Notamacropus eugenii: one gene and its partners. The protein of the gene in region 1 interacts with the protein of each later gene in a pairwise test. Links are inferred from orthologs where the notes say so. Each region holds a gene or a part of one and is shown on either strand. Other genes may lie near its edges.

What was found.
Region 2: the proteins of MORF4L1 (region 1) and ZBTB9 interact in binary tests that used the Homo sapiens proteins (3 or more experiments, as listed by UniProt). The two-hybrid records come from large-scale screens. The link is inferred for Notamacropus eugenii from reciprocal best matches to the Homo sapiens genes MORF4L1 and ZBTB9.
Region 3: the proteins of MORF4L1 (region 1) and CAMK2B interact in binary tests that used the Homo sapiens proteins (3 or more experiments, as listed by UniProt). The two-hybrid records come from large-scale screens. The link is inferred for Notamacropus eugenii from reciprocal best matches to the Homo sapiens genes MORF4L1 and CAMK2B.

Annotation. Positions count from the first base shown.
Region 1 is NC_092872.1:254,625,557-254,633,136, reverse strand, and holds the start of MORF4L1 (mortality factor 4-like protein 1), read left to right. Parts: upstream 1-4,580; 5' UTR 4,581-4,663; coding exon 4,664-4,703; intron 4,704-5,022; exon of another isoform or gene 5,023-5,154; intron 5,155-7,580. UniProt on the Homo sapiens protein: Component of the NuA4 histone acetyltransferase (HAT) complex which is involved in transcriptional activation of select genes principally by acetylation of nucleosomal histones H4 and H2A.
Region 2 is NC_092873.1:89,448,745-89,455,851, forward strand, and holds the start of ZBTB9 (zinc finger and BTB domain-containing protein 9), read left to right. Parts: upstream 1-4,093; 5' UTR 4,094-5,802; intron 5,803-6,289; 5' UTR 6,290-6,758; intron 6,759-6,825; exon of another isoform or gene 6,826-7,107. Other genes in the region: SYNGAP1 (ras/Rap GTPase-activating protein SynGAP), read left to right, coding at 3,191-3,337. UniProt on the Homo sapiens protein: May be involved in transcriptional regulation.
Region 3 is NC_092872.1:522,555,661-522,563,586, reverse strand, and holds the start of CAMK2B (calcium/calmodulin-dependent protein kinase type II subunit beta), read left to right. Parts: upstream 1-4,912; 5' UTR 4,913-5,281; coding exon 5,282-5,346; intron 5,347-7,926. UniProt on the Homo sapiens protein: Calcium/calmodulin-dependent protein kinase that functions autonomously after Ca(2+)/calmodulin-binding and autophosphorylation, and is involved in dendritic spine and synapse formation, neuronal plasticity and regulation of sarcoplasmic reticulum Ca(2+) transport in skeletal muscle.

The DNA of each region.
Region 1 (7,580 bases):
GGCAAACAGTGACAAAGTTACTTGCTTAAAATCACACAGCCAACAAATTTACAGAGGTTGAATTTTTTAACTCCTATTTTCCTTGATCCATGCTCTTCAGACATTTTGCCTTAATACCAAATTGCATTATAATTTAGTTTCAGGGCAAACCTTTAACACACCACGTCTGGATTTACAATCACAAAATCTCAATTCTCCTAATGGCTATGCTTTCCCTGTGCTTCACATTACAGGGCTCTCTACTCCCAGTTAGTCTACTGCCAAAGATTTAAAGAGGCAGTCTTGTATCATCATCCTCTCTTTTAAGGGTCCATGAAGACTATATTCTTCACATAAAAACTAAAATGTACTCTTCTCATGGTCCTTTAAATTTCGTAAACTATCTTCAAATAATTTCATGTTGCAAAAATGTTACTAAAGAATAACCACATAGTATTTCTCATATCCTTCTTATCAAATACCTTTTTAAATTAAATTCTGTTATATTATTCATAGGAGCCACATAAAGCATTTTTTTCAAATTAAATTTCACTTATTTTCAAGTTGCTCCTTTAAATAAGTTTCTCTTTTCATGGGCAAAACACAAGACAGTTTTTAAAATTCAAACTGTAAACTTCCTTTGAAATTAGCCCAAACGGAGTTCCTCTTCTTTAAACTGCAGTGGTAGAACCCTCTGGGGATCAGGTGGAGATGCTGGTTCAAATTTTCTCTTCCTTTGTTCTTTCTCTCATGCACAGTTATGGTGATGCTCCTAAATTTGCCTGTACCCTTCTCATGCCATCTAGGGCAGAAAACTGAATATACCATTTTAAAAGGCAAACTTGTTTTTTTCCCCTTTGCTTTGAAAATTCACTGATACTATTTTCAAACTAGCTTCTTTCTAAGCAGCAAAATGACCTTTTTCTCTTATCTGTAAAACAATAAATCTGTCATTCTCCAGGGCAAGAGAGATAAAAAGTTTATGTAACATTCACAATTATGTTCTTAATTTCTTCAAAACAAATTCTAAAGAATGTTAACCCCAAATTCACTAGAATATTTTAGCATTTATAAAAATATTCAATCCACAATTTGAAAATTCACAGTGGAAAACTTACATTTTATTCACAAAATCAGTTTCTACTTAGTTTATGATGTCATAACATTATATGGTCTGAAGGCAATTATTCCCTTTTCTTTTTATGTTTTTCTCTCTGTGCTGCCAAAACTTGGCCAGAGTTTAGAAATGTAGAGAAAAAGCGAATGCCTTTTTGAAGACTTAGAGAAGTGTTCAGAAAAGTTCACATTTGTTTTCCCAAGAAAGAGTTATTTTACCAGACAAAGAGAAGCATTTGCCAGCAGGGTTTTTTCTTCTTAACTCTGTGCACACAATGATAATAAGCACCAGTGACAAAGTTTCCTTTAAAAAAAAATAGTGTGCATAGGTGAAAAGTCTCTTCTCAGGCCAAATACGGGACCCTTCCGGATTCTGATATATCATAGACTAATTTGGGTAAGGGTGTGCCTGGGTGTTGGCTGGAGAGACATTCCTTATCATTTAACAATCTTTCTGACTTCTAATTGTAGCTAGCCGCTTTTTACTGGGAAGAGTCCATTACTGGTTTATCAATCATTTGTCAATTTTGTGACCACCGGCTGTTCCACTTACCAATAATGTCACTTGTGACATTGTCCTGCCCCAACTCCTTTAGAATGGTTTCAATTTTCCTACTTGCTAGTTATAGCAAGAGGCCTGGGACTTAACCTCTCTTTCCTGCCCAGGGCAGTGAGTGGCCTGGGACTTTACTTTATGACTTCCCTAAATGGGCACCATTGATATACCTCTTTTGATCACTTCTTGGCATCTCCCCTAAAGAAAATAAAATTTCTCCATGGGGTTGTACTGTAGGGGGGAATTTCCTGAGTTTCCAACTGTCAATTATTACCAAACAATAATACTTAAAACACAGACATCAAGGCAAACAAACCAAGCTACAGCTTCCCCAAGAGTGTTGAGAGATTACCTTGGCTTGGAGAGGCTGAGGCTAGATGGGCAGTCAGGTCTTTAGACAAATTCTCTGCAGAGAAATCCCCCTGGTGAAAATGTCACTTGAGGGTTCTTGGAAGGCTGAGGGAAGGGGGCTAAGAAGTTACTCCAAGGACTAGTCTCCCATCCCCAGCTCCTTTGTGGTTGCCAGTTGTTATGTTTAAAATAAACATAATAAAAATAATCTGAAGTACAGATTTCCAAGCCAGATCAATTTATTAGTAAAGTGTGAATTTACCAATAATTAGGATCTCAGCTTCCCCAGCAAAGCTAAGACACCGAGGTGGGGAATGGTCACCATTTTTTTATAGTTTTTAGGGAAATACAGAACAAAGAACAGGACTTTTCAGGTGGGGAACAAGTGATGGTTGGTTAGAAAATAGGAATAAGGGGCTAGAAAAAAACCCCCTCCTTTCCTCCACTGCCTAAGAAATGTTCATTATTTGAGTCCACCTGCAAGGTTAGAGATGATGGACCAGATTTATTACAAACCAGACACAAAAAATAGAACAGGGATTAACAAGAGAATTGGATTTCTAAACTTACCTCATTGAAGAAATGAATTTCTGAACTACGTTCAGACACAAAGAATCATGACTTACTAAGTTACCTGACAAAATCAATTAATTGTAAATAGGATCAATTAAAAAAAGACAGAATCGATCTGATTATTTCTGGCAGCTGGTAGAACACTAAGATAGAGCACTAGGCATGGGATCAAGAAAAGCTGAGTTCAAATCCAGTTTCAGATCCTTATCAGGTGTCTGACTCTGGGCAAGTCACTTAACATTGGATTGCCTTAGTTTTCTCTACTGTAAAATGGGGATAATGACTGCACTGACCTCCTAGGATTGTTGTGAGGATCAAATGAGTAAAATGTAATGAGTAAAAAGTACTTAACACAGTCCCTGGCACACAGAAGGTGCTTAATAAATGCTTATTTTCTTGTGGCACTCCATTATTTAAAAACTTTGTTTGGATCCTCATTTTCCTATGGAATATGCACTTCTAATTCTACTGCAAGGTGTCTTTACGCTGGTTTTGCGTCTAATCTTATCTCACTTGACTCAGTTGCTCTAAGTCCCAGACAAATCCAACTAATTTCTGTCCCCTCATCTTTTCCTGCCCTTTTCTTTGCTGCAGTCCTTTTACTCTTGAAATCAGCTTGGGTGTTATAAAATGGCAGCATCTTCCAAAATTATTGTAAGCGAAGTGCTTGAGCAATGGGAAATACTTCTCCTTGGGAAGGATTTCCCTTCCTTCCTTGGTTCTTCATCCACTCCAACAGCTGCAGGTGACCTTGGTGCCCTTGCACAGCCCTCCCTCACTCAAAACAAAGTCAACTGCAAGTCATATCATCATTTCTCCAATGTCATGGTCTTCTTTGAAAAGTTTGGAGGAGCACAACCTGAGAGTAGACCAAGATGCCTGAGTGGGGACCACACAACTATTAGGAAGCAGCCCTGGGACTGCAACCTCGGGTCTTAGACTCCAAATCTAGAGTTCCTTCCACAGCTCATGAAGTCTTCTATTACCAAGTTGGCCAAGCTTCCTGCTTCTAATGAGATTTCACCTCCTTTCCACTTCTTAGGAGGAATTCCCCTGGGCTGTCCTTCTGGCCTCATCTCCCTCTATCTCCTAGCATCAAATAAAGGCTTGTTCGATGGAATCTCATCACCCCCACATGCCCAGCTTCCTATACAGTCCTGGGCGCAGCTTGCTCTAAAGGGTAAGGTGGGTTCAAATCCTGCTCCGGCTCCTTTCTAGTCAGGGGGATTCATGAACTAAAACCCTAGTTGCTATTGAGAAGTTACCTCCATCATCAGACTGGGAGTAACTTGGGGCAGGGCCTATTTTTGCCCCTTTTTTGCATTCCCAGCACTGCCCAGTGCCTGGCACAGGGTAAGCGATTGATACACGCTCATGGACTTCGAGATTATCTGTAATTGATCCTGGATGCGTCCTGCTCGTACGTGGATAAGTATTTGTATGCTCTCCCCCGTTCGGCTGACAGCTCCTCAGCACTCTGCACGGTGCCTAGGGCCGAGTAGGGGATTAACAAACGTGCTTTGACTCAGAGAGGACCCCAGTCTACCCTTTCTGTGGCAAGTTGTCTTCTTTGGCTAAGACGCGGGCTTTGCTCGACTTCACTTGAGTAAATGCGGGTGGGGCAAGGAGAGAAGCTGGAACTCAAAAGAAGGAGAACTGCAGGTTATCTCTCCTATCAGTCCGTGGCTCCTCGAGGGCAGGGACGGTTTCCTGCCCCACCCACGGCACGTACCGGGCACTTACAAAAGGTCTTCGCCATTCCTGGATTGAGTGACGTACTGGGAAAAAAAGCCAGCCAACTCCCCTCCCAGCATGCCTCGGGCGGCCCGGGGGCGGGCCTGCGCGTGCGCCGAAACGTGCGCGTGCCCGTCCCCCCACTGCAGTCCTTGGCCAAGGGTGCGCGCGCGGCTCTTGGTGCTTCGCGGCCTGCGGGCTTCTGGCTAATCGGGCCGGGGGCGGAGCCGGGCGTGACGCTAGGCTGGGCGTGGTGCGGGGCGGTGGTGGCTGCGGCGGCGGCGAGGACGACGACGACGACGGCGGGGGGAGGAGGCGGAGAAGCAGGAGGCGGAGGCGGAGAGTCGTTCATAAATGGCGCCGAAGCAGGACCCGAAGCCCAAATTCCAGGAGGGTGAGTGCGGGCCGAGGGCCCCGGTGGGGGCGGGTAGGCCGCGATAGAGGGGCGGGGGGAGGGCCTGAGGAGGCTCCGCTAAGTCACCGCGGAGCACCTGAAGCCGGGGGGTGGGGGGGAGGGGTGCTAGATCGAGTCCCCGAGGGCCGCGATGTGGCGGCGCCTTTGTTTGCTGGCGGAGGGCCGGTCCTGCCTTTCTCTTTGTCCCCGGAGCGCCGTCGCCCCTTGTGGTCGTTACCCGAGCTTGTTGGCCGCCCCTCCCACGGAAATGTAGCTTTTCCTTCAGTTGTTTATAAGCGCGCTCCTGGCCGGGGTCCGGAGGCTGCCGGGCCCCTGATCGGGGTCGCGCCCTTCATTTTTACAGAGGGGGAAACTGAGGCCCAGAGAGGGGAACACCGCGTGACTGCTGACTCCCCGAGCTGTTCGGGGCAGGGTCGCAGAAGGGTGAGAGGTAGGGTTTGGATTTGACAGATGAGGACACCGAGAGTAGTTCCCCGGGTCGGGCCTCTCGGGTAGGTGAGCAGGTAGCCGCCCCTCCCCCCGCCTGGGTCCCGAGGATCTGCCCAGGAGGGGGAGGAAGGCCCGGAACTCGGCCCCGGAGCTCGGCCCAGGCGGGGAACCATGGCCGAGGCCGAGGGACCTACCGGGCGTTTCGGGCCGCCTTCCTCCCGGCGCTCGGGAACATGGCCGCCAGAGACAGGGCCTGATGGCGGGGGCGCTCTTGTGCTGCGGCTGGGGCCCTGGCGTCAGAGAGATGGCATCGCCTTGGAAAGTGCGCTTGTTCTCTACCGTGGAAACCGTGCGGTGCAGCTCCTCGGTTTACCCTTTTGCTATACGTTAGACAGTTACGTCATCCCTGACGTTACCGTCCAGGACGGAGGTTTGCTTCAACGTAGCATAGGATCCTAGGCAACCTTGCTTCCGTGGCAGAATTCGTTTTTATATGTTATCTTAAGGAACTTTTCCTTTCCCAGCCAACATTTGAGAATGTGCTGGCATTCCGCACCAGTGCCTTTGAGCTGTGGGCAGGCCGTGGTTGGGAAAAGGAGACTAACACTTAGCTGTGGGCTGCATGTATACCCGAAGTGCAGGTGCTGTGATGCTGGAGGTGGGCCCAGGAGTGGTCCGGGAAGGAAGGGTCGGTGGAGGGTGAGAGAATGGTTAAGTAACAGCTGCATTTACATATTCTTTAAATATGTAATTTTAAAAATTGCTATCTTTTTCCCTTATAGCCACCCTATGAGGGATGGGAGTGGACTTAGGATTTAGTTGGTACTGGGATCAAAGGGATAAGGAACAAAACTCCCACTACCAGTTTTAGTTCTGTGTTGTCTCTGCAACTTCATTTATAGGGTGTTACTTAGAACACCGAGAGGTTAAGTGACTTTCTTGGAGTTAACCAGCTAATACGTATTAGAGGCAGGACTTCACCAAAGTCTAGGTCTTCCTGCCTTCTAGGCCACCTATGTATCTGCTACCCTGTGCTGTCTTTGTGAGATAGATCCTTTCAGTGTTGCCTTAACATTCATTAGAAGTGAAGCTTCTTGGAGGATTCATTGTTTCATTCATTGTACCTGTATCCCTAGTTCCCAGTGATTAGTAATATGCCTGTGCTTTTAGACTACAGGCGGAGAGGATGACTTTGCTGGCAGGAAGGCCTGGGTTCTTGTCCAGGGGCGCTACCTCTGTGTTCATAGGTAAAGTCACTCTCAGGTGTGCACCCCCTGGTAACTTGTTATAAAGGACTCACTTATCATTGGTATTTTCTTACACATCAGGAAAATCACACACTTGGAGAGGGGAAGTGACTAGCCTATGGCCACACAGCTAATAAATGAAGAATTCAGTATTCAAACTCTTCATTGGTTTTGGACTGCTTCTGCTTTGAGTGATGACAGTACTAGCCTGTTGGGAGTGTAGGTGGTGGGAAGTGTGGGAAATGAGTTGAGTAAGTTTTAGTGTAATCATGGATTTACATATTAAGGATTCTGGATTCAACTCAACATTTTTTTTAAAAAATTTATATATTTTTATTTTTTAGCATTCAATTTTATGAAATTTTGAATTCTACATTCCCCCAACCTCCACAAGATGGAATGCAATCTGATGTAAGCTATACATGTACAATCATATTAAACATTTCCACATTTGTCATGTTGTGAAAGAAGAATCAGAACAAAAGGGAAAATCCATGAGGAAGAAAAATACAAAAGAGAAAATAGTATGCTTCAGTCTGCTTTCACACTCTATAGTTCTTTCTCTGGATGTAGATAGCATTTTCCATCTTGAGTCCTTTGGAATTGTTTTAGATCATTGCATTGTTGTGAAGAGCTAAGCCTTCTGAAGTTGGTCATCAAACAATGTTGCTGTTACTGTGTACAGTGTTCTCCTGGTTCTACTTACTTCATTCAGTATCATTTCATGAGAGTCTTTTCAGTCAACTCAGCATTTTTGCATTGAATTGTAGGATATAGATATTTGAATTGAATGCACATTAATTTCAATTAAGTATTTCAAATTGAATTGTAGGATTTATGTACTATCATTACTTCAGTATTTGAACAGGCATCAGGACCAGACTGCAGAAGGTTTTGAAAGCCAGACAGAATGGTTTCGATTTGTCATTTGTAATCATAAACTCCTCTCATAAATGAATCTCAGAGCAAATTTTTTTTGAGAAAGTATGATCGATTAGTTTACAATGAGATAATTTACAAGAATATTGTGAGGGGAAAGTAGCATCTTTTAATATGAAGATGGACAATATATTACTAACAAAAATCAATTTTCTAAAACATGAGACTTATAAATTTTCATAATTCTTTAAAGTAAAATAAAAAGTTTGTATTTTCCCTGGAACTAGTAATATAAAAGATC
Region 2 (7,107 bases), on another chromosome or scaffold:
GGGTTACTGGTTCCTTCGTCATAGGGACCATGTCGATTGCAGCAGGTAGGTGTGTAAGGGGTGGGGGAATTTTCTCTCTTTACCTTTTCTATGTGTTTCTTTCCAGACCTTTTTCTTTCTCCCTCACTTCTTTCCTCTCCTTTCTCTGTTTTTCCTCTTCCCTTCCTTTCTTCAGTGTGAGGGGTGGAAGGCATCTGAGGCTTATGACTTGATTTCCCAGTGGAAGTGGAGTGTTAGAAATAGTAGTTAAATCAGGGAGAGTTCAAGTAATACTGGAGCATTATCCTGACTAGAGAAGAAGGAATGAATGGGACTTGAGGGGGAAGGGAAGTTCTGAGAACGTTCCTAAAAGTTGTTTTGAAAGGGCTGTACATACAGATAAATGTCTGGACATGAAATCACTTACAGATCCTGGAGTACTCAGATAGACTTGTCTTTGTAGACAGGAAAAATGTCCTTATGAGATCCAGGAGTCTCATTCCTAGAGATTCCTGATGGATAAAACCTGAAAACCATGTAAAAACCCCCTCCCACTTTTGCCTAGCACATGCTGCCTTTTCTGATTGGTAGCCCTGCAGTGCACCACTCCCTAGGCTGTGGACTTTGTGTAAGAGACAAATGAGTCCTGCACCTAAAAAGCCACAGAAGAGTGATGGATCTGGAGTCAGAGGACCTGCGTTTAAAACCCATCTCTGCTGCTTAATTTCCTGTGTGATTTTGGGCAAGTTGCTTCTCCACTCTGGGTTTCAGGTTCCTCATCTATAAAACAAGGGAGTTAAAGTAAATGAATTTCTAAGTTCATTTAGTTCTAAGATGGCTTTCCAGCTCTGAATCTGTGATTCTATGAAAATTAGTGGGAACCTATCTTGTTAACTTCTGGCCTCCTGATAATTATTAAGACATTTTATTTTTATTTCTTATTCTGCAATAGAGAGTGAGGTTCTTAAATTGTTATTTTAACTTTATCTGTCAGCTCACCTTTTCTCTCAGTTATGGTTCCTGATAAATAAATGCAAAATAGGACCTCAACATTTAAAGGAAACTTGTAATGGTTTATAAAATGAATAATCAAATTATAACCTAATTTATCTACTTTCCAAATTTGGGTGTATGGAAGTGTATAGGGGGCATGCCTGTAGGCTGTTTCCAGCTGAATCTCCAGAGGAAAGATGGGGTTTGAATTCCCTTCCTCCCTGCCCCACTCCCCACACCCAGGATTCCCTAAATTCACTTCTCTTCTGACAACTCTCCAAGAAAAATACAAAAACTGTATGCTAGACACATCACAAGTTGAGAGAGAGGGCAACTCAGTTTAGGATGAGGGATTGGTGTCCTTGTGAGAGGTGAGCTATTTGCTCCTAGGGTAGAGGAAGGGGAACTGATCTCTGGGTAGAAGGAGGGATAAATTATACCTTCACTTCAATTTTATGATTCCTCAGGGAGTAGTCAGATAAACTTCATATTTCAAGTCATACTCTGCAAAGCCAGCCATAAATAATTTGAGGTTTATTCTGGACCACAGTGTTTGGATTATCTAGGGTTCTGTTTTCTTGCTGTTAAAAGTGAATTGTTTTGTGTTTGCATTAGGGAAAAGCCTGAGAAGAGGAATTTTAGATACTTCTTTCATTCCTTTCCAACAGAAGAAATAGAAGCAGTAGGATAAGAGCAAGACTGGGAGTTAGGTGCCCCCACTTTGACTGACAGTGTAGTTAGAGAGCAGGCCTCAAAGGCAGGAAGACCTGGGTTCGAGTCCTGCCTCCAACACCTGACTGACTGTCTTTGATTCTGTGTAAGTTCCTTGACCTCTTAGTAAGCTAAGGAGAGGTTCTTCACCCCGTAGTTCCCCTACACCAGTGAAATCACATGTCTAGCCTCTACCCTTCTTCGTTTTTAAGGTTAAACAGAATAACTGAAGGAAAGATGGGCTTAAGAAAAGGTGAGACCTATTCAGATTTCTGGAACAGTAGAGATTGGAGGGGAAGGAGTTACTGCCCTGGCCCCTAGTCATTTCTGATGTAAGAATGAGGGGGAGAAAGCCACTCTTTCCTATTATTTTAATAACATTTCCTCTCAATAGGACTGTACTCCTCAAACCTTCTCTTCCCGTGGGCAAACCTCCCTAATTTGGAATATATTATAATTGGGGGAAGGCTGGTCTTCAATAAAAGACATCTGAATGATCGAGTATTTAAAAGAAATGGAGTTTTTATTTTAAAATACATACAATAACGAACTAAGCTAACAGTGTTTCCTAATTGAGGCCCTTAGGAAATCTGATTTAATGAATACGCAAGAAAGAAAAGTTTGTTCTTTTGTATAGGTTAAATGTCTCCCCTGCAGTTGCATTTCTGCCATTAATTTGCTCAGTACACCCTTTCTTCATGGAAAAAAGTAAACTTCAGTCCATTCTTTGTTCATGTTATCACAAATTCTAAATCAGTAGGGGTCCAGATTAATGAGATTTTTTGTATAGCCCCCCAATACTGCTCCTAGTCACAAAATTCCTACCGCAGTTCAGAATGTATTCAGGCAAAGATATGAGTATTCAGGTGAGGAGAGAAGAGAAGGTTAGGTTAGTTGTGGAGGAGGCAGGATTAGAAAATAACTAGCATTTGCATAATACTTTAAGGCTTGCAAAGGGGCTTTACAAATATTATCTTAATTCTCACAACTACCTTGGGAAGTAGATGCTATTATTAGTCCTGTTTTACAAATGAGGAAACTGAGGCAGGCCTAGATATAAAATGACTTGCCCAGTGTCACATAGCTAGTAAGTGTCTGAGGTAGGATTTGAATTCAGTTTTGTCTGGTCTCTAGATCTAGATCTTCTATAGAAAGGTCATTCTGTGCCTTCTAGGTGTCTAGATTTCATAGGGTCCTTTATTCCTCGAGCTAGTTTCTTGGTTTGACTCCTCAGTTTAAGTGCCCTCAACTTGTATAATGGGATGTGGGTCTGGAGGAAAGGATAATACCTTCCTCTCCCCCTTTCTGTACCCCCAGAGGATGCAACTTCTTTGATGAAGGTGAGAAATGTGATGTATGGGTTGGGCTGAGGGAGGAACAAGAGGGTGAGTCCTGGGGTTGGGGTGGAAGTCATGGTTGTTGGGTAAGGTTGGTTGGTGGGGACAGAAATGAGGATCCCTTGAAGCGTCTCAATAAGTCCGCGCTCTCCCTCTTTGGTGTCTTGCAGGAGAGGCAGCTTCCCACCCTGGGTCCAGCAAACCCGCGTGTGACGCTGGCTCCCCCCTGGAATGGCCTGGCTCCCCCACCCCCACCACCCCCGCCCCGGCTGCAGATCACAGAGAACGGCGAGTTCCGAAACACCACGGACCACTAGTCCACCCAGCCTCATTGACATCTCTCAACCCTACCACTACCATCTCCAACCCTGGACCACCGCCTGCCAGAGACCAGATGTCGCCGAGGGACCAAAGGACTGACTTCTCTGTGGGAATGACTCCCACCCCTACCCTCCATTCTTCTGGGGAAGGGGCTGGGGACCTTCAAACTCTCCTTCCCTTTCTGCTGGGGCAATGCCTCCTGTATGTCTCCCCAGGGCACTCCTTTGAGGGCCCTCACCTCTCATACATCTCCCTTCCACTCTGGGGTGCTATCCCCATTTTCTGCCTCATTCCCACTCCCCTGAGCACCGGGGGACAGTTCCCACTCCCATCTTGGGGGGTGTGACACCTCCAAACTCTCGACTTCAGGGTGATTTTTTAGCTGTAACCAGAGCCGACAATCTAACTCTCCCCGTCCCCCCATTTTGGCCTCCCCTGCCCCCCTCGTTATGGGGAGGGGTCCCCAGATGGGGGCCCTACTCCCCTTTGATTTCTCAGGAGCGCCTGGGGGGGCTCAGCACGCACAAACTCCTTCTCCTTCCACCATTCTTCTTAAACTCACTCCCTCCCACCTTGACCCTAGATGGGGAGGAGGGGGCCACTAGGGGCAGGGAAGGAGGGGTTGGGCAGGGGGGATGGGAGTCTTCTCCCCTTCCTCCCACACCTGATCTGCTCTTGGCTGGTCCCAGAGCGGGGTGAGGGGTCTTATGCCCCAGCCTCCCCTGGTGTGTTGGGTGGGTGGGTGGGAGAAATGAGGCAACAGGGAGAGGTTGGGGTTTACGAGGGTGGTGTGTGTTTATGGGGACACCAATTTATCTGCCTCCCCTAATTCTCTCCTGCTCCCTCCCTCCTGCTCTCTCTCCCTCCCCTTGGTCTCTACTCCCAGGGGGAGGGGGGAACTTAATCTAGGAAAAGCCATGTCTCTCTCCCCCGAGAGTGGGGTGGTGTAGGGGGCCCCCTTCCGTGTCTCTGTCCCCTTGGGAGGTGGGACAGGGCTGGGCTTCCCTCTTCCCCTCCCCGCTGCTCCCTCTCCCATTCTCTTACCGCCAGCTCCACAATTTTTCGGTGTTTCTCTCTGTACATAGCTCTTTGGTGGGATGGAAAAGGTAGGATGGATGAGGTTTGGGGGAGGTGGGCCATGGGGGAGGAGGGAACCACCCCCTCTTTGGTATCCCCTTCCCCTGACTGCCATCCCCTCTCCCTGCCTTGCTCTTTTCTTCTTTCGTTTGGTATTGGGGCCCTGGCCCTACTGCCCTACCCCATCTACCCATATTATTCTTTTGTATGGACAGTTCTCCCACAATTCCACTCTCCTCACATACCCAGCCGGGGCCGAATTTATAGTATATAGAAGTTGTAAATATGTGAAATTTTATCCCCTGTGCCCTTCTCTCCTTTGCTCTCCCCAACTTTAGGCCCCACTTCAGTGCCCGTTTCCTCTCCCGTCTTTGGCTGTTGTAATTATCTGGGGTTTGTACTGTACATATCCAGGGTGTGTGTGTGTGTGTGTGTGGGCTGGGGGGTGATTCCTCTGTACAAAGCTTCCTGGCCCTCCCCTCTTCCGTGCTCCCCATCCACCCTTCCAAGGGTGGCAGACTTGCCCTACCTCTGGTTATTTTTTTTTCTTGTTCTATGCCCCAATTCCATTCACAGCCTTCTCTGTCCCTCCCTCCCCATCCTATTTTTCTCCACTCCCAGCCCCATTTCCTTTTTTTCTGGAGTGTGTGGTGAAACAGAAAATCATGTTTAATAAAAGGAGATTGTTCTTTTATTGCTGTGCTCCTGACTTTCTCCCTGCCCAACCCATGCAGGAACCTCCCATAGGAGTAGTGGGATCTCCTCATTGAGGGCAAGACTGGGAGCCATTGACTACATTATTCCCCTCTGATGTCACAAGCTCTGCTCTGACTTGACTACTCTGATTTATTTTAAAATTATTAAGGGCTGGCACTCTGGGGGAAGGGCCCTCCCTTTTCAACCAGAAGGGCCTCTTTTTAGGCTGTCTCCCTGCCCTAAATTTGGAACTTGCCTTACCTCTCATGGAGCTCCTTGTTTTCGCCCTACACATACCAGGGCATGTGCCGAGGGTGGCCAGACTGACCAAGAGGTAGGGGGCTAGGATTGACTGATAACTTGGATAAAGGGCTGCAATAAATTTATTTTTCAAAAACTTATTACCCCCACGTTTTTTTCTCTATCGTTGGTTGGTTAAGGGCAGCTAGGTGTTGCAGTGGAAAGAGTGACAGACTTGGAGTCAGGAAGACTCATCTTCCTGAGTTCAAATCTGGCCCCAGACACAATACCTGTATGACCGTAATCAAGGCCAAATGTTTTACCCCATTTGCCTCAGTTTCCTCATCTGTCAAATAAGCTGGAGAAGGACACGGCGAACCGCTCCAGTATCTTTGCCAAGAAAACCCCAAATGGGGTCACCAAGAGCTGGACAGGACTAAACACGACGGTTTGTATGTCTCATGTAGCACTCCTAGCATTTCGCGTCTTGGTGTTGGCAGCTCCTTGTAAAGACGTTCCTCAAGGTTCCTCTGCTGTTAATGACAGGGCAAACATCAGCCACAGCAGTAACTCTTCTTACGGCTGTTTCAAGGTTGATGAATGCAAGACTTGGCGGTAGGGCCAGAGTTTCTCCGCTACTTGTGGCCCCCCAGAGGACACCCGTCCCAGCCCTACCCTGCCTCTGACTTGGCGAGAACTTGTCTTGCTGCCCCTTCTCTTAAATGGTCACGAGCAGTCAGTGCTTTTCCCCCCCGGACGCTTGTCAAACCCTGGTGGCGGCCAATCTTCATTTTCTAATTTTTAATTTTATTTTCCCCCACTTAGTAGTGTTTAATTTTTCCAATTGCATATATAGTTTTCAACATTTTTATAAGATTTTGAGTTCCAACTTTTCCCCTCCCTCTTCTCTCCCCCCTCCCATGTTGTGAAAGAAGAATGAGAAAAACTGAAAGAAAAACCCAGGCCAGCGCGCTTCCTGCATTCAGGCTCCCCGGCTCTGTCAGGAGTCTCGGCGCTGCCCTGCATCGCCGCCGCGGAGAAGGGCCAGGCCTAGGCGCGGTCAGCGCGGGGCTGGGGCTGCACGCCGCACCAGGCCACCTGGGGCCCGCCAGCTTTTCCGGGGAGCCGCCTGCGCACCGTTTCCTGAGGCGCAGCCGTAGTCCAGGGCAGTCCTAGACCTCCCAGACCTCCAGCTCACTCATTCCCCTCGCACGGGCATCCCCTCAATTTCCAATTCTTGGCCGCAAGGCGGCCAATCCTAATAGGGCTTGTACACTCGCTGCGAACGCTGACTTGTGATTGGCGGCCGTGCCAGGCCCCGCCCAATCGCCTTGAGGCTGGTGTTCGGGCGCGGAGGTGGCGGTGCGTTCCCTGCTGGCGGAGAGCTCGAGTCCCCGCCCGGAGGTATAACTGGGGGGCGGGGGGGAGGGCTTCCGCGGCTCCGGGTAACGGAAGGCCGGGGAAGGGGCCGGCGGAGAACCCCGCAAAGCCCGGGGGGAGCACGGGATGGCGTGGGCGGGGCTCCCGCTTCCGGGGTCGGCGGGCTTTTAGGGAGGGGGGTGGGGAACCTGCGACTTCAAGGCCACAGGAGGCCTTCTAAATCCTTGAGTGCGGCTTTTGGACCGAATCCAAATTTTGTTCCGTAAAATCTGGATTCGGTCCAGAGGCCGCACTCAGGGATTTAGAAGGCCCCTGGGGCCGCAGGTTCCCCACCCCTGCTAGGACTTGGGGACAGCCGGGGCGTTACAGGCCG
Region 3 (7,926 bases), about 270 Mb from region 1:
TTAGTTTTCAACGTTCACTTTTAAGTTGTCCCCCTTCCTCCCCAAGATGGCATGCAGTTTGATATGGACTATATATGTACAATCATATTAAACATATTTCCACATCAGTCATTTCGTGATAGAAGAATTGGAACAAAAGGGAAAAACCATGAGAAAGGAAAAGAAAGAAGAGTATGCTTTTATCTGCATTCAGGCTACATAGTTCTTTCTCTGGATGTGGACAGCATTTTCCATCATGAGTCTTTTGAAGTTGTCTTACATCCTTGTATTGCTGAGAAGAGCTAAGTCTATCAAAGTTGGTCATCATATACCGTTGTTACTGTGTACAGTGTTCTCCTGCTTCTGCTCACTCAGCTCTATATATTTTAGAAATGAAGCCTTTATCAGAGACACTGACTGTAAAAATTGTTTCCCAGCTTTCTGCTTCCCTTCTAATCTTGTTTGCATTAGTTTTGTTTGTGCAAAACCTTTCTAATTTAATGTAATTAAAATTATCCACTTTGCATTGCATAATATTCTCTATCTTCTGTTTGGTTATAAATTCTTCCCTTCTCCATAGATCAGACAGGTAAACTATTCCTTGAAGGAGCATACATGCTAATGAAGGAGGCAACAGGGAAATCATTAGATACACGCAATGTATAGACAGTGAAGATAGAAGGTCATCGTATAGAGAGGGCGATAGCAGCTCTGGAAGCCAGGAAAGGCCTCCCCTAGAAAGAAGAAGGAACCCAGAGACGCCAGGAGTCAGAGATGACAAAGATGTCAAGATGGGAGATGGGATTTCACAGTTAAGAAACAAGCAGACTGGTATCAGTGGATCATTCAGCCACTTAGTCACCTGTGTTCGTCCTTTGTTGCCAAAGAAGACCATGCCCTCAGAGAAATGATGACATGACCTGCGCTTGACTTTGTTTTGAGTGAGGGAGAGCTGTGCAGGTCACCAGCCTCACTTCTCTTCCAGATCCATCCAGTGATCAGATATTCATCAGGATGACTGGAGATGACCCAGGATGAGGCAACTGAGGTGAAGTGACTTGCCCAAGGTCACACAGCTAGTGTGTGCCAAGTGTCCGAGGTGAGATTTGAACTCAGGTCCTCCTGACTCTTGCACTGGTGCTCTATCTACTGCACCACCTAGCTGCCCACTTAGTCAACTAGCATTTGTTAAACCCCTTCTGAGCCCTGGAGATACAAAGGAAAAAAATCCCTGCTCTCAAGTCTAATGGTGGAGACAACATACAAACAACTATGTACAGACAAGCTATTTGCTGCTGCTCTTGTTCAGCCATGTCTGATTCTCCGTGACCCCATTTGGGGTTTTCTTGGCAGAGATGCTGGAGTGGCCTGACATCTCCTTCTACAGCTCATTCTACAAATGAGGGTTAAGTGACTAACCCAGGGACATACAGCTAGTAAGTGTCTAAGGCTGGATTTGAACTCAGGTCTCCCTGACTCCAGGCCATCCTTTTTGTCCACAATGCCACTCAGCTTCCCAGACAAACAAGCCACATACAGGACACGTTAGGGACATTCTCAGAGAGAAGGGAGTAAGATTAAGGAGCAATAAAAGACTTGAGGCAGGGATGCCAGTTAGAGGCAATAATCTAGGAGAGAGTTGATGAGTGACTGAACTATGGTGGAGATTGTGTGAGTAGAAAGGAGGGGAGTTATATGTGATATATATTGTGAAGGTTGAAGCAACACTCTCTGGCAATGGATTGGAGATGTAAGTTGAGTGAGAGTGTCAAAGTCAAGGATGATACTGAGGTGGGGAATCTGGGTGATTAGAAGGATGGTGAGTATAGTTGACAACAATGGGGATGCTCAAGAGATGGAGAGAAGGACTGGTTTGGGGGAAAGAGAACAAATTTTGTTTTGAACATGTTGATTTTGAGTTCCCTCCAGGATATCTGGTTCTAGATGTTAAAAATGCATCAGTTGATAATACATCATGTGAACTCAGAAGTGCGACTAAGGTTATTATGTAGTCCTAGGAATCATCTGCATAGAGATGATAACCAAACCCATGGGAGTTGATGAGATCACCAAGTAAGATAGTATAGAGAGAAAAGAGAAGTGGTTTCAGGACAGAGCCTTGGGGGACAGCCATGGTTGGTGGTTATAACAAGGATGAGAAATCTGCAAATGACTGGTTAGAGAGGTAGCAAGGAAGAGAACTGGGAGACAGTCATATCATGAAAGGCCAGAGAAGCGAGTGCATGATCAACAGTGTCAAGGATTTCAGAGAGTTCAAGGAAGATGAAGATTGAGAAAAGGCCATTGGATTTGTCAGTTAAGAGGTCACTAGTAACTTTGTCCAGTCAAGTGTTCATTGAATGATGAGGTCAGAAGTCAGATTGGAGAGGAGAGTGAGAGAAGAGAGAGTGTAGACAGCTTTCTCAAAGAGTTTAGCCAAGAAGAGATCTAGGACAATTGTAGGATATGGTAGGATCAGATGAGGTTTTTTTAAGCATGAGAGAAATATGGATGTATTTTTAGGCAACACAGAAGGCTCCAGTCATTCTTTGTTAATAATAATTATAATAATAATAAGTAGCATTTGTAAAGTGCCTATTATGTGGCAGGCACTGTGCTAAGCACTTTACAAATATTATCTTATTTGATCCTCACAGCAACCCTTCAAGATAGGTGTTATTATTATTCCCATTTTACAGTTCAGGAAACTGAGTCAGGCAAAGGTCAAGTGACTTGCCCAGGGTTCAATCCAGTTTCATGGCAGGTAGTGATACTGTCTTCTGTGAAGTTCCAGGAGGTTCTTCTAACAGGCAAAGATTGGAGGAGGGATGGGAGTGCACTGTTTTGCCTGTGTTATTGCCCTGGGGGTTGGGGGGGAGGTGGAAGGGGGTCCTGTCTTGGGACAGACTGGCACTGGAGGCCCTGGAAGGGGGGAGATAAAGGGGCCTCTGCCTGGGAAGGACCAACCACTGGCATCTGGAAGGTGGAGGCCTGACTAGGAGTTCAACTGGCAGCAATTGAAGAGAAGATGCCAGGAGATGGATGCCAGGGTTTTGTCTCTTGCATTCTGTCATTTCATCTCATTATGCCAACCTGAGGAGGTCCTGTTTTCTGGGAGCAGGGCAGTGAGGCCCTTCAGAGGAATAACCATGAATGCAGTTTAGATTCAGGAGGAGATTAGTAGTGCCAGATGAAACCAGGCTTCGTAGGCTATAGGATCATAGATTTAGGGCTGAATGGGACTTTAGAGATCATTTACCCTAACCCCCTCATTTTACAGATAAGGAAAGTAAGTCTGAGAAGTGAAGACTTCACCAAGGTCACAGAAGTATTAAAGAAGAAAACCAGGATTTAAACTCTGGACCCGTGACCTCAAACCCAGAATTCCTTATGCTGTACTGAGATGAGCGTTGGTAGTTCTCTCTTTTGGCTCCAACAGCGAGTGTTCAACACTCTCCAATAAGCAGACTCTAACCCGGACGACCACCTCCTCTATTCTAACCTAAAGGAAGGTACTGAAGGCATTGCCATCAGGCATCAGGGGAATAAGCAATGGTTATTCGGTCAGAGTATCCAGGTTCCTATTCTTCCTTTGACACTACTAGGGTGACCTTAACCTCTGTGGGCCTTGGTTTCCTAACATGCAAAATAAGGGGATTGGACCAGATGGCCCCTGGAGACCCTCCTGGCTATCCTTCTGTGAACTGAGACTATGTTCCATCCTGGTAGGTGCAGCCAGACACCTCCTTGCTCATAATTTCTAGATATGAAGCTTGGGGAATCAGAGATCCAGCACCTGACCCTGAAGTAATGGTTTCTTGTTTGTGAAACCGGGTCAGTTTTTCTTCCACTCCCTCCCTCCCCCTCCTCAGCATCCTTATCTCCTCCTCCCTGTTGCTGCCCATAGCAACAGCTCTGGCACCTTGCAGTGAGGGACTGATGCCTGCAATCTGGGTCCAGGGCCTCCCTTCCAGTTGGGGAAATATATCCTCTTCCAGGCGTTGAAGAGTGGGCAGGTGGGTGGGCAAAGGGCCCTGGTAGAAGGGGGAGGAAATGTCCCCTCTCTAGAGCAAGGATGACCATAAGGTTAGAGCTACCCAGAGATGCCTGATGGTGGCTGGTAGGAAGAGACTGTCTGCTTTTTATTAGCTTAACCTCCTGCCCCCTCTATCTTGCCTCAGAGCTGCGTTTGCTCAGAACTACCATTTGTAGGGGGTGAGTGGGGGTGGATAGGAGTGGGTAGGATTAGGAGGGTGGCTAAAATCAGGAGCTGTGGTCCCAGGGATCCAGTTGGTGGAAGGACTCTACCTTCTCCTTCGGGGTTCCAGTTTGTTTGAGGGGATGAGTTAAATAAGGGGGCAGCTTTCCCACCTCCTCACAACCCTGCTGCTGCCCCTCCCCAGGGGCTCTGCCCTACTCCACCCTGCCTTTATAGTCTATGTTCAAAACCAAATCTCCTGCCTCAGCCTTAGAGAAAGGGTTTCTAGGTGTTCCAGGCATCGGAGTTGGGTCACCTACCCTGTCTGCAGTCGTGGGTGTCCTGAAGGGAGAAGGGGTCGGATTGGTTAACTTGGCGTTCAGTTTTCGGGTGTGAGTGTGAAGGGTGTTGTGCAGTGTGGAGAAGGGGTGGGGTGGGGGGGTTGAGGGTCCGCCCACGAGTGTGCAGTGGAACTACATATCCACGGGGGTGCTGGCCTCCTCGAGGGTGACTGTGGGTGGGGGGGAGGGTCCTGCCGGCAGGGCAGAGGGAGGGGTGGGTCCGCGCTGGGAGCATTTCCCCGCGTGTGTGTTCCGCAGGGAGGAGGAGTGGGGTGGGTCCACGCTGTGCTGTGTGCGGGTCCCCGCGTGCGTGGTGTCTGTGTGTGTGGGGGGGTGCCGCGCAAGGGAGAGGGAGGGGCCGGTCCACGGCGTGTGCGGCAGAGCCCCGCGCCTCCTCCCGCGTGTAGGTGTGTGGCACACACGCAGTGAGCAGATCTCGCGTTGCGCTGCCCAGAGCCAGCCCCCCAGCCTCCGGCCCCCCGCCTGGAGCGGAGGTGTCACTCTCTGCCCGCGCTGCTGCTGCTGCTGCTTCTGCCGCCGCCGCCGCCGCCGCCGCCGCTGCGGGGCTAAGCCGGAGCCCGAGACCGAGCCTGAGTCCGAGTCCGAGTCCGAGTTCGAGCCCGAGCCCGAGCCCGATCAGCTTGACGGCTACACCGCGCCTCCCCGGGAGCCCTGCGCCGCCACCGCCGCCGCCGATAGCCTGAGCCCAGAGCGTGCAGCAGGGGAAGCGGCAGCTCGCAGAGCCCTCTCCGCGGCCGCAGCGATGGCCACGACCGTGACCTGCACCCGCTTTACCGACGAGTACCAGCTCTACGAAGATATCGGCAAGTAAGGATCCAGGCGGCACCGCGCTGGGGGAGGGCTGCAGGGGGAGCCGCGGGGAGGAGAAGGCTGGGCTAGGGCCATGTAGGTGAGTCCGGCTGTGGGGGGCTGCGCCAGCCCTGCGGGAGGAGGAAGCCCATGCCTTCAGTGCCCCCCTTCCCCCCTCCCCCGCGAGGAAGCGCCCAGTGTCTGTCTGCAAATGTCTGTGCGTGCTTGCATGTATCGCTGTGGTGTGTGTGTGTGTGTGTGTGTGTGTCGGGGCGGGGGGGAGGACCAGGGACGCGGGGGTGTCTATGTGCCAGGGGCGGGGGGCGCATTGCGGACCCCGTGCACCTCCCAGTTCTTTGCGAGCTCTCCGGCGCCGGGCGTCCCAGGGCCAGGCGGACAGCGTGGCTCCTTGGGTACGGCTGCTGCGGTGACAGTGGCGGTAGCATGGCCACAGTCTTCTGGGTGCCCTGTTTCTTCACTGCCCCTCCCCCGCTGTCTCTCTCCCTCTCCAGCCCTGGCAGCTCCACTCCGGGCGCCCGGGGCTTATTAGGGGCGTGGGGGCGGCGGGGGCGGGTGCAGGTGCCTCCCTAGCAGCATGCAGACGTGACGCATTTCGCTAAGGGGAGGACCGAGGGCTGGAACTGGAGGGGGTTGGGGGAGGGGGTCGTTCAGTGGCAAGAAGCCGACCCCCCGCGGCGGCCCCGGCTTGCCCAGCTCCCCTGCCCGTAGCTGCTGCGGCGGTGCAGTCGGGAGGCTCCGGGGGCTAGGGCTGCCGCTGGACTTCCCCAGCGCTCAGCGCCTTTTCGGAGAGGATCCTGCACATGTCGAGTCGGGGTGGGGCTGGGGGCTGGGGTTTAGGGGCGGCACTCCACCCGCCGGGCTGTCCCGGCCATGTGCTGGCACACCGCTTTGCTGGCTTCTGCATCTCCAGAAGCCGGCAGGGGTTTGGGTGGAGATGCCCAAAGAAGGCCCGCCCATTCTCCTGGGGCGGCGGGGGCGGGGAGGCCGGTTGAGGGCGAAGGAAGAAGAGGCTGCGAGCTGGGGTGTGTTGGGTGTAAGTGCTAGCCGAGGTGGGGGAGAACCTGCAGGGTTCTGAGCACCCCTCCCCCATACCCTGAGGCTGAATCCTTAAGCTCGTACTCTTTAGCCCCTTCCACTGAGACCAGCTAGAAAGGATGTGATTGTGTGTGTGTGTGTGTGTGTGTGTGTGTGTGTGTGTGTGTGTGTATGTATGTGTGAAGTCCTTCCATGAGGTTTGCTCTTTTGCTCAATTTACTCCTTACAAGGTCTCATTCCTTGTCTTCCACTCCCGTGCTTCCTCTGGGAAGTCGTGGACATCAGGGAGGGGAGGATTTTGGACAGAGTGCCAGTGGCTTTTGGGTGAGGTTCTACCGGGTGCCTGGAGGCCGGCTGAAGCACCTGCTAGGAAACAGACAGAAGCTAGAGGAGGGCGTGCAGGCCTTACAGTGGCAACAGATCGCTCCTCTCACAGCAACCCTGTTTTAGGGGCCTACAGGTTGAAGCCGGCGGCGGAGAGACTGGTTTCTGAAATTCCTTTGTGGGAAGGTGTGCAACCTCATCTACCAGTATTCCCATAATAAGTTAACCCTGGAATAAAGACATAGCTTTTCTTTCTTTGGCTGGCTCTCCTTATTTCCCATATCCTGAGCCTTCCAGGCTGGGCTTCCCAGGGGGTCTAGCAGCTCTATAACATATTGCTCTAGTGAGATGGGATTCCAAGAGAAATAGAATTAATTGCTCATCTTCTTCTGTGGGCAGGAAACCCTTGGTGGCACTGGGAAGCCAAGGTGAGGACCTAGCAGTAGAAGTGAGGGGGTGGGGAATAAGAGGGCAAAAGATTTTGATTCTACTCCAGGCTTGGCCGTAAACTAGCTGTGTGACTTTGGGCAAGTCTTTCACTTTTCCTCATCTGTAAAACCAGCAGAACACACAAAGTAATTTTTAAGATTTTATGTGTCTCTGTCTGTGATTATCCTGGCTTTGGACTCAGGTGGAGGTGGGTTGGGAAAGGCAACCAATTTCCTTTTGCTCTGAGGTCATTGAAGCTCTGGAAAATCTTTTATGTACTCACCAGACTCTTTGGTCCACATTTTCTTTTCTCAAGAATACCTTTGTGATTGATACCTTGATGTGAGATACCTGGCTCACTGCTAACTGAAAATCTCCTGAGAACTCCAAGCGCTGGCCATCGGAGAGGGCAGTATGAAGGGATTTCCTGATCCTCCGCACCCTTATTAAGCTCCCTTACAATTCTGTAGCTCTCCTCCTGCATCTCTGCTTAAGCTTCCCCAGTTAGAAATGATCTCATTTCCCCCTTCAACTCCCCACTTTATGTACCACTTTGCTTCCATTGCCAAGATATACTTAACGATGTATTATTTCGTTGTATAAATACTTTTGTCTATGTCATAACTTTCTGCTACACTGAGGGTAGGACCTCTCTTCTTCCAAACTTTGTGTCTCTCTCGTATGTGTCTAGCTATGTGCTCAGTATTCAAGGGTACTTAATAAATGTTTAATGAATTGAAAGAAAGGTAGTGTGGTAGAGCTGATAAGTGAAGGCTTGGGTTCAAGTTG